Bombyx mori: one gene and its partners. The protein of the gene in region 3 interacts with the protein of the main gene of each other region in a biochemical or structural test. Links are inferred from orthologs where the notes say so. Each region holds a gene or a part of one and is shown on either strand. Other genes may lie near its edges.

Evidence for each region.
Region 1: the proteins of 26S proteasome non-ATPase regulatory subunit 2 (region 3) and ubiquitin-protein ligase E3C form a complex in vitro, tested with the Homo sapiens proteins (2 studies listed by BioGRID). The link is inferred for Bombyx mori from reciprocal best matches to the Homo sapiens genes PSMD2 and UBE3C.
Region 2: the proteins of 26S proteasome non-ATPase regulatory subunit 2 (region 3) and ubiquitin-like domain-containing CTD phosphatase 1 form a complex in vitro, tested with the Homo sapiens proteins (3 studies listed by BioGRID). The link is inferred for Bombyx mori from reciprocal best matches to the Homo sapiens genes PSMD2 and UBLCP1.

Annotation. Positions count from the first base shown.
Region 1 is NC_085111.1:13,504,877-13,509,033, forward strand, and holds the start of ubiquitin-protein ligase E3C, read right to left. Parts: upstream 2,914-4,157; 5' UTR 2,715-2,913; intron 2,634-2,714; 5' UTR 2,610-2,633; coding exon 2,484-2,609; intron 2,399-2,483; coding exon 2,195-2,398; intron 2,046-2,194; coding exon 1,926-2,045; intron 1,106-1,925; coding exon 979-1,105; intron 708-978; coding exon 554-707; intron 51-553; coding exon 1-50. UniProt on the Homo sapiens protein: E3 ubiquitin-protein ligase that specifically catalyzes 'Lys-29'- and 'Lys-48'-linked polyubiquitin chains.
Region 2 is NC_085132.1:10,308,366-10,311,395, forward strand, and holds the end of ubiquitin-like domain-containing CTD phosphatase 1, read right to left. Parts: intron 2,029-3,030; coding exon 1,708-2,028; 3' UTR 579-1,707; downstream 1-578. UniProt on the Homo sapiens protein: Dephosphorylates 26S nuclear proteasomes, thereby decreasing their proteolytic activity. Recruited to the 19S regulatory particle of the 26S proteasome through its interaction with 19S component PSMD2/RPN1.
Region 3 is NC_085114.1:10,684,222-10,687,881, reverse strand, and holds part of 26S proteasome non-ATPase regulatory subunit 2, read left to right. Parts: intron 1-359; coding exon 360-593; intron 594-903; coding exon 904-1,052; intron 1,053-1,524; coding exon 1,525-1,627; intron 1,628-2,307; coding exon 2,308-2,474; intron 2,475-3,660. UniProt on the Homo sapiens protein: Component of the 26S proteasome, a multiprotein complex involved in the ATP-dependent degradation of ubiquitinated proteins.

The DNA of each region.
Region 1 (4,157 bases), on a different chromosome or scaffold from region 3:
GATACGGATTGCACAAAAATGCCGCAGTAAACTCTGTTGTTACTGTATCTCTGAAACAAAATAAATACTTGTCAATATTGAACCCTCGGATTTTAATATAGAGTGCTAAAACCAAAACTGTTCTATGGCAAAGTTTTTACAAATACAATACCTTCCAATAAAGTAAACATACAACTTTTTCCTGTAATCATCATTGTTTTTGCATCTTGTAAAACATAACAAAACAGAAGGTCAAAGGGGAATATTATTTCATTGCTTATCTTCTTTGGCTCTTATGTAAAATACTGTGTAGGTATATAAAAAATATCTTCTGTATAATTACCTTGAAAAGAACTTACTACGAATAAAATTTGCAAAGCTGTATAAGATATAGAGATAATATATATTTATGATTTATGATATGATATATATTTATGTTGCCCTGGAAGATACACAAGCATATGGCTCACCTGATTAGTCATAGTCATGAGGAGTACCAGGGAAACAGCCAAAATGCTACTTATCATTATTTCAGTTAAAATTAATATTATAAAATAAATAATAAGCAACTTACTCATACTGAGGAATGTTCACTCGCAGGATCAGTGACAGAGGGCGCTGAATTAACTCTAAAAGTGCTCCGCTTAATGGGGTGGGTGGGTTTGGTGATGGACCATACATTGGTGGGGTCTTTTCACATATTAATTTACACAGATCCATGAAATAGCCTGAAAAATTATAAAAAAGTACAAGATCAAAGATCATGTTTTTTTTTTAACTTTTACTGAAGTCTTTATTGCTATCATCTTCATCACAATATTTATTGAGTTTTAACAACAAATGAAAGCTGATTATTTTAAGAAAGAAAATTTAGGTAATTTAGTGTCAGAAAACTATGTTAATGAATTATTAATATCTCTTTCTTATAAAACTTGTTGAAACTGTTGAATGTTAATTTGAGTTGTTATGCCAACAATAGCATGATGTGTATAAACATACCTCTTTTAATTAAATACAAGAATGTATTGGCAACAAATCTCAGTGCCTCATCACAGTTCATTGCTGCTTCTACTGTACTAGTGGATGTGAATACTTCAAACATTCTGAGTGGAACTGCTAAAGGCACCTGGAACATTGATTTTTTAAATACCATCTATACTAAGGGTTCCCAAACTTATTTTGTGTACTGCCCACTTTGAGAATAAATTATTTTTTAGTGCCCCCATTTTTTCACCTACTCAAAAACCACTATAGCGAGAGCTCAGTAGGTGTCTAAGAGTCCTCCTAGATGAAGTTACAAATCGCCTCCCAAGCTTCTACACAGTGCCCCCAATTTTTTTTTCTGGGTCCCTTACTGTCCCCCTTTAGGCCTGCAGCGCCCACAAGGGGGCATTATCACTCACTTTGGGAAAGGTTTTTTTTTCCTACCTAAGCTGAGAGGCTATTTCAGCAGTGAGAGGCTATTTCAGCGGATGGGAAAGGCTGATCTATAGCATCTATAGAATTTTTACAAAATTATTTTAACACATTATTGAAGACCAGTTGTGGTTGAGGCTTTTGCTCAGCAAAGGCAGGTTTAGCCACAGTCTCTATATTAAAATTCATAAGGATATGAAAAGGTACACATAGTGACTACAAAAGAGAAAGCCATCAATAGTCAAAAGGCTATTGCTTAACATTGGTAATAAAAACGCTGATTAACAGGCTAGCATTTGAAAATGTGTTAAATCTAAAATGGTTTTTCCGTTCAATTAGTAGACTGTTTCAATATTGTGAAACCCTAATAGCCTCTGATTATAATTGTTTTTACTGAAATTCAGCATTGTATATTGTATTTTAGAGTTCAGAAATATCAGTATAAAATTAACATTTTCAATGTTTTTTTTAATCGTAAAATTTAATTATATCACATTATAATTATATGTTGGGCTAGAATTGTTGCTCACCTCTGTGTTATACTTCAATAGTCGCAAATGTAATGCTAGTAATCTTCTTATCTGTATACTAGAGCCACTGTTGTGGAAGACCTTTTTCCATTGTTTTAACAACAATTGTGATATTGATACCTATATGAAACAAATTTAAGAATGTACAGTAACATCTACAATACTAGTTAATATTCTGATACTAGTTAAGATTCTGAAAGAACAGACTGCTAGTATATTTTGTCAATTTTATAATTTTTTTTAATAAAAATTTAGAACTTCAAACTTACCAATCTAGAAACATCAGCTTTGTCATCATAGAAGAAAAATATTTTTGCTAACAGTGCTGAGATTGTTGTTTGATCTTCTACATTAATTCTAGGAAACATATCATCAAATTGGTCCCTTTCTACTTGTTTACATTTTTTTCTGGTTAAGTAGCTTCTAAAATATGCTTGAATTTTTATAACACTGTTTAAACGTTTTCGGTGTTCCTAAAAATATAGTTGAATGATAATTATATCACCGAATCTACTTTGTACAGGGTGGTGTGGTGAACTATTAGTACAGGTTATTTACCTCTCGTTTTTGTCTTTGTAACTGTGTTTGTTGAATCAAAGAGTCTCTATCGGTCTTTCGTGCCGCGCTTGCACCTGCTAAATTTTGTTGGGGTTTTCGCCTAAAGTCTCCCTCGAATGAATACATGATGTTAAGAAATTTTCATAAATTCTGAAACAAATATACGCCGTGTAAACAACGATCAGCTGAAACTGAGAAGATTCAAATTCATGACAAACACAATTTACCAACCTTAGTTTGCAGGTCAGTCAGTAAATATATTTTGTTTATTGGTGATGAATCGCACATACATAGCAATCACAAAGACCAAATATTTTCATTCAGCAATCTAACAGGCAAATATATAATGCCACTGAATTAGACATTTTGGTAATTTTGTGTTTTGTAATTTCAGAACTCACTTTGTTTGACAGCTGACTGACATTTATCGAATCATCTTTGATTAACATCGATGAAAATTTTAATCGATTCCTTCATTCTTATTTCGCGAGTATAAACGTCCATGATGCAAAAAAAGCTTTATTACTGCTCTGTGCTCTTCAGTATTACTTTAGGTTTAAAGTATTGATGTGTATAAATAATAGTGGCTTACTTATTAATTAGCATTTGTGAAAGTAAAGTACTGTTTGGATAAATGAAACAAAATTGTCGGATCGTATTTTTCAGATTCTCTCAAAAAGTCTCCTGAAAAGTGAAATTTCATCAAAATCTTTTTTAATCTTAAAAAAACTTTATTAAGATCAGATTTATTTAATACCATCATCAATTTGATTTCATAGACCTTTATTTTGATTTCATTTTGCTTGTTACGTTCCATTTTTAGAATAATAACACATATTTTCCAATTAACTCTTTGCATGTTCTCTTTCATAGATAATAATTATCTTTGCCTGTGAACTTTAAAACTATAAACAAGACAAAAATATTTTGTAGTATTTTGTACATAGCATAGATTATACACTGGTACATAGGTAGTTACATACCCAGTGTGACCAGATTTAGCAGAATTCTGCGGTTTTAGCAGAATTCTGCGGTTTTAGCAGAATTAGACCCCCAATTTAAGGTTTAGCAGATTGTGTTGCAGATTTGAAAATAAGGAATTTTTCGCCTGAATCTCATAAAAACTTCACAGAATTGTAGCAGGATTTGACATCTAACTGTGTTTCACATTTATTCATTCGGGTAGTTGCGCTAAAAATATTTGAGGAATTTTACCTTTGTTAAAACAATGTCAGGTTTTTCTTCCAACACTGCCAGCACTCAAGCACATTTTAGGGGAATCCCCGTTAAATGTTTAGCTTTGAAGTTCTGTGTAGTGTTCAATGAACACTGTTTACATATTTCCTAAATAGTCGTCGACCATTGTCTCTCAGTTGTGTAATACTCGTAATTTGCAATTTTTTGATCCACAAAACGGTGTATATAAAGTTGACCAGAACTGTTTCTAAATTTCCTAATTTGGTTAAAGAATCTAACATACAAGCAATTGACTCCGAATATCAGGAGGTTAAATTAGACAAAACAGTGGCCAAACTATTAGAATCTGGAGGGAGTTCTAATCCCACACCTATGAGTTTGAACACAGAAATGTTTTGGGTCACATTAAAATTTCAGGCTGATAGAACTAAGAAGTATCCGCACTTGGTTGATTTTGCAAAGGCCACGATGACTTTG
Region 2 (3,030 bases), on a different chromosome or scaffold from region 3:
TAACTCAATTTTGTATGGAGTTGGCCTACGTTTGCCGCTAGGGGCGCTGTTCCAACGTTAACTTTTACGCTATCGAGAACGTTAAAAAACTCGCACTAAGCACACAAAGCAACAAAATCGTGTAAAACTTTGCGATTCACTTATTTTCTAGCCCTGACGCTAGTGGGTATTGAGCGATTGTTCCCCGCCACTTCTGTAAGATGTAAACGCTTCCTTGCGCGTGAGGTTCAAAACGACAAATTATAATGTACTTATAAGTTTTTGGACGAAGGATATCGTGGGAAGTCACCTCGTGACAGGCGGAACATAACTTTCATAAAATATAATTAGGTAAGTATTACCGACATTTATTATATCTGTCGAAGTTAGCCCACACAGTGTAAGCATAAACTTGGAATGCCATTCACTAAAAAACAGTTTTTTTTTTATTGCCCTTGTAGGGAGACGAGCATACCTGTGAGTGGTTACCGTCGCCCATGGACTTCAGCAATATCAGGGGCAGAGCCAAGCCGCTGCCTACCGCGGTTTCAATGGCGATTGGTACAGTTTCGCAGGCGGAATAAAAATAAAATGACGCATTACAAAAAAAAAGTATCTTTATTCGTTTATAAATTATACAATTGCATTAAATGCTTATTTAAGTCTAATATCATTCGAATAGCATTATACTAAATTAGAAACGGCAGTTCTTTCATTGGAATTGAAAAAGAAAATGTCAGAATATAGTTTGTCTCTCTCGTTTAAGAAATGTCTACACTTGTGACACTGACACACATATTTGACAGGTTTTTTTTTTAGTTTGTCATGTCAAGTTGCATGATCTGAGTAAAATGCATGAGAAAATGTTGAAGTTACAATTATTTTTTACTAGCATAGATTATATTACACATATATAGTAAGTTAGAATAGAATTAGTGGTAGTATAGATTATATTAGACATGATATATAGTTTAGAAACGTGATGTTTGGTGAGAAGGGCTCCTCGTCAAATCCTTCAAGGCTGTTTGAGATCCGTTAATTTGTAGAAAAATTAACACTTACAACAATCATTACTTTGTTTTGTGCTTAAATTGCGAGAAGGTCATTTCATCACAGGTATTTTGTGATAATGGAAAATCTTTCTTGTTATTTCTGTAGCTGGTTAGATGGCTCACGGCTTAGAGGTCACCGAAGCTTATACAAATCACAACCTGAATTCCGCCATCCAGCTCAAGATATGAAGCCGAAAATTCAGTTGCATTGAATAAAGCTGTTGCGTCCTTCAAACCCGAACGCATCACTGGTTCGCGGCAGGATAAGGCTAAGTACTCTACACGACAGGATCCCCCGCCCCTTCTGAGGAAACGCTAAGCTACCGTTTCAACTATTGCTATTATTCATGAAGTCGTATCGATCGAGGTATAAAAGGCAAAGTTTAAAATACCGGATCTAAAGAATCTTCTCCCCATAACGAAGACAGCTCGAGGATGATACTTGGCACTAAAAAAAAAAAACTAATATCATTTGCTCGCCATGTATCACGAATTTAAGGTGACGTTTGTAGAGAACGATTCCGTTACACCCGGTACATATGATATTCATAAAACACTAAACGAACCACTGGCCAATTTGCCACTTGGACGTTCGCCAATAAAAAAAAATACAGGCTAAATCACCTCCCAACCTTAGAACGTAAAAACCACACTAAAAAAAAACGTCAAACTACCGTCATTCCCTCGGCTTGGAGGGCGAATCTTCCGCTTTCCTTTTACTGCCCGCCTGGAGTTTCCTGTCGGGCTTGTATTTCTCCCACTTCTTGTGGTTCAGCTGGTCGAAATCCTCGCAATTCTGTGCGATATCCTTGAGGTAAGTCGATAGGTAGAGCAACTCCCGGTCCTTGTCCCGGTTGAGGTGCGCTTGCCTGAACGGCCTAATTTTGAGGCCACTCTTTGGGTTCATAATGAAGTTCCTTCGTATGTCGTCAAACATTATTGTGTTTTTCGAACTGTACTGGGGGTATTTTCCCCAGATCACGCCTAGAGGTTTGACCTATAACAGAACAAAGATATTAATTAGGCAATGGACAGTAAACGTAAGTTGACTCTTTTATGGTCGTCGTGGCCTAAAAGATAAGACGTCCGGTGCATTCGTATCGAGCGATGTACCGGTGTTCGAATCCCGCAGGCGGGTACCAATTTTTCTAATGAAATACGTACTTAACAAATGTTCACGATTGACCACCACGGTGAAGGAATAACATCGTGTAATACAAATCAAACTTGCAAAATTATAATTTGCGTAATTACTGGTGGTAGGACCTCTTGTGAGTCCGCACGGGTAGGTACCACCGCCCTGCCTATTTCTGCCGTGAAGCACTAATGCGTTTCGGTTTGAAGGGTTTGGCAGCCGTTGTAACTATACTTGAAACCTTAGAACTTATATCTCAAGGTGGGTGGCGCATTTACGTTGTAGATGTCTATGGGCTCCAGTAACAACTTAACACCAGGTGGGCTGTAAGCTCGTCCAACCATCAAAGCAATAAAAAAAGAAGTGGAAGCTACACTAATGGCTAGGCATTGGCTTATTGGAAATTTTTGGACAATTTGGACATTCTGAGCATTTAAATGAATCTGATCTATTTGTGAGCAGCTGTCTTCACACCAGACACTCCGGTTGCCACCAAAACTTATAGCTATTGCTGTTTGTAGACTAGCCCACTGAGTTTCTCGCCAGATCTTCTCAGTGGGTCGCGTTTCCGATTCGGTGGTAGATTCTGCGAAGCACGGCTCTTGCTAGGGCCAGTGCTAGCAACACTCCGGTTTGAGCCCCGTGAGCTCACCTACATGTTAGGGCGAAGCTGATATAGCCTCTCAAGGCTATCAGCATAGATACGAAAAAAAAAAGCGCGCGCATTTAAATACAAATGGAGCTGAGTGATGTTTAAATAATATGGCCATTTGTTGAGACTACCCCCATCCAGTGGTAGATTCTGCGAAGCACTACTCTTGCTAGGGCTAGATTTAGCAAATTCTCCCAGGTGGAGCCCGTGAG
Region 3 (3,660 bases):
GTTTGAAGAGTGGGGCAGGCGTTGTAACTATACTGAGACCTTAGAACTTGTATCTCAAGGTGGGTGGCGCATTTACGTTGTAGATGTCTATGGGCTCCAGTAACCACCTAACACCAGGTGGGCTGTGAGCTCGTCCACACATCTAAGCAATAAAAATAAAATAAAAAAAAGAAGCATAAGAGGTAATGTTTGGGCATATATAGAAAATAAGTTACCGGTATTATTACCGGTATCATGACTATTACTCTATGATTTTCAAGAATTAAAGAACTATAAGAAGTACTGAACCTTTCTACTGTATATTAATTACATCAGGATAAAAATGTTATATTCGTTTTATATTTAATTCTATTTTATAGGTATGCTCTCAGCGGCCGCGTCCCTTGGTATGATTCACTTGTGGGATGTAGACGGTGGTCTAACGCCTATCGACAAATACCTGTATACCGCCGACGAGCACATCAAGGCTGGTGCCCTACTGGCTTTAGGTCTCGTGAACTGCGGTGTCAGGAACGAGTGTGATCCAGCCTTAGCTCTGCTCTCCGATTATGTTCTGCATTCCAGTTCCAATCTCAGGATCGGAAGTGTTTTGGGTATGCTGACGATTATTTTTTTGTAGGATATTACATTTGTATAATTTAAGTAAAATAAATTCTGTCAATGCATATCCAATATTTACTGTGGCGATAACCATCAGAGAACACAAGATATTTGACAGATGCCTCAATCTCGCTTGCGACATTTTCAAGATAAGCTTGCGTATTACATTACAATTCTTACTTTGGTTCGCATATATATTCATTTATGAACTTAAGAATTTGGACAACTTGTATGCCTAAGAGTCAAAGTAATGCAAACTGTCTATTAAATTGTTTATATTTATTACCGTAATATTGTAAACAGGTCTAGGTATTGCATATGCGGGAACACAACGAGAAGATGTGCTGTCCCACTTGCTTCCCGTGCTCAACGACACGACCGCCCCGGCCGAGATCTGCGCACTCGCCGCCATCTCCTGCGGGCTCATCGCCGTTGGATCGTGCAATGGCGATGTATGTATCATGGACGTATTACATAAATAACAATGTTGCTAATCTAAATTAAAACATGATTACTGGTGGTAGAACCTCTTGTGAGTCCGCACGGGTAGGTACCACCACCCCGCCTATTTCTACCGTGAAGCAGTAATGCGTTTCGGTTTGAAGGGTGCGGCAGTCGTTGTAACTATACTGAGACCTTAGAACTTATATCTCAAGATGGATGGTGCGTTTACGTTGTAGATGTCTATGGGCTTCAGTAACCACTTAACACCAGGTCGGCTGTGACTTCGTCCACCCATCTAGGCAAAAAAAATATAAAATCTTTATTTAAATACGCTAAAATATAGCTATTAATATAATAAATAAATAAACCTAGTTTATTACAAAAATAATGAAAGTCTGGACTGGAAGTCTTATAATATAAATTTTAATAATCTTTCAAAAGTGGAAAAGACAAAAATATAATATTCTGTGTTGTTGACAGGTGTCTTGTGCAATCATTCAGCGATTGATTGACGATAACAAGGATTTGCACTCGTCTACTTACGCCAGGTTCCTGCATTTGGGACTCGGGCTGTGTTTCTTAGGTGAGTTGCGTTACTGCTTTCAAAATCGTAACATGCTATACATTTATGACATCAGAGAATTGTATCGACTTCAGAATAGCAGCATGTATATGCAAAGCCCAAAAAGTTTTAAAAACAATTATTCATAGTATAATTGTAGATGTTATATTAAATAGAATTACTAAAATTCACCCAAAGTAGTGTTATCCAAAGTGAACATATAAATGTTGTAAAGTAACAAACTAAATAAAAAATACAACTATAATATAACTTACTCACCGGGTGAGCTGAGAGTGAGGTTTTTTTTCCTACTTAAGCTTGAGAGGCTATATCAGCGTAGTAGGTGAGCTCACGGGGCCCAAACCTGTCGAAGCTGCTAACACTGGCCCTAGCAAGAGTCGTGCTTCGTAGAATCTACCACCGGATCGGAAACGCGACTCACTGAGAAGATTCGACGAGAAACTCAGTGGGCTGTGTCTATGGGTTAGTTTACTCGCCGAGCCCTTCGCCGCTAGTGACGGGTTCGACGGGAACGACGACCGGTGCTTGAGGTACCTAAAATCCGAAATGACGTGTTTTGGGCGACGTCGACTGTTTACCATTCGGTCCGAAAGTAAGGAATACTACTTCACTTACTATGAAGTTAGCCTTTGGTTCGGCCTCAGTGCGAGCACGAACTCAACAGTGATGTTTGTTCGCAGGCTGCAAGGAGCGCACGGAGGCGACGATGGCCGCGTTGGAAGTACTTCCGGAGCCGCAGCAGTCGCTCTGCCAGACCACGCTGTCCATGTGCGCGTACGCCGGCACCGGGGACGTGCTCGTGGTGCAACAGATGCTGCACATCTGCTCCAAGCACTACGAAACCGATGTTAGTAATGTTACACGCGCTGGGGTTCGGGATAAATAAATGCTCCACCAAAGTACAACTTGAACGGTAGGCAGCGGCTTGGCTCTGCCCGTGGCATTGCTGACGTCTATGAGCGACGGTAACCACTCACCATCAGGTGGGCCGTACGCCCGTCTGCCTATACGGCAATTAAAAAAAACTGTGTAGCACTTAGAACACTTAAAACACTGAAAGAATGAAAGAGAAAGATAGAAATCATTTATTCGCTAAGCACTTCACTAACACTTTAAAATTCTCAATTCACTTCTTTACTCATTGACTGCGTATCATTTCTGCAACGCTTTTATAGTCGATAGGACATCCCTAGAAACGTCGAGAACATTCCTCACAAGCCGAGTACCTTCGATGTGTGTTTCCGTTATCTGACAATAGATGGCGTTGTACTTCTCGAGCGTTCTAGGTGTTACTGATCCTTCTATATTCGTTCGGCTATTCGGCGATAGATGGCGTTACTCTTAGCGGCGTAACAGTAATAATAACCGAGGACATGCTACACACGGTCACAGTAATATGAGAACCAGAGACTGATATATACATATATGTATAGGTACATAATAACGGTAGACAGTGGCTTGCTTCTGCCGCTGGCATTTCTGAAGTCTATGGGCGACGGTAACCACTAACCATCAGTTGGGCCGTATGCATAGAAGGGCAATAAAGAAGAAAAAAACTATACAAACAGCAAACAAACTTGTTCATCTCACAAATGTGGGAATAGAACCCACCCACCATAATAATCAGGATTACTACTATACCACAGAGTCAGTTAAAATTATTCTTATTTTCTCAATAATGAACTGCAATTGATTCTATAGGCTACAAGCAGATGCAATGCAAGTTTTTACATCAATTTACAGTTAAAATCTTTGATGCAATTCGATTATTGCATTGCAAATTTAACTGGCGTTTGGAACTTCGCTGCAGACTTGTCTACCAATTTATTTGTATAATTATATCATTAATCATTGTATTTCTGTTCTTTATTCAATTACTCCGATTATATCTAATTATTTTATTTTTTGTAAGAATGAAGCGAGCTTACTATTGACTATTCAAATCGAAGCCGTAAAAAATGCAGCTTTTACGTAAGATTGTACCATTTTAACACGCGAGGCTGCAGAACTATCTTGGAACATTTATCACTTCT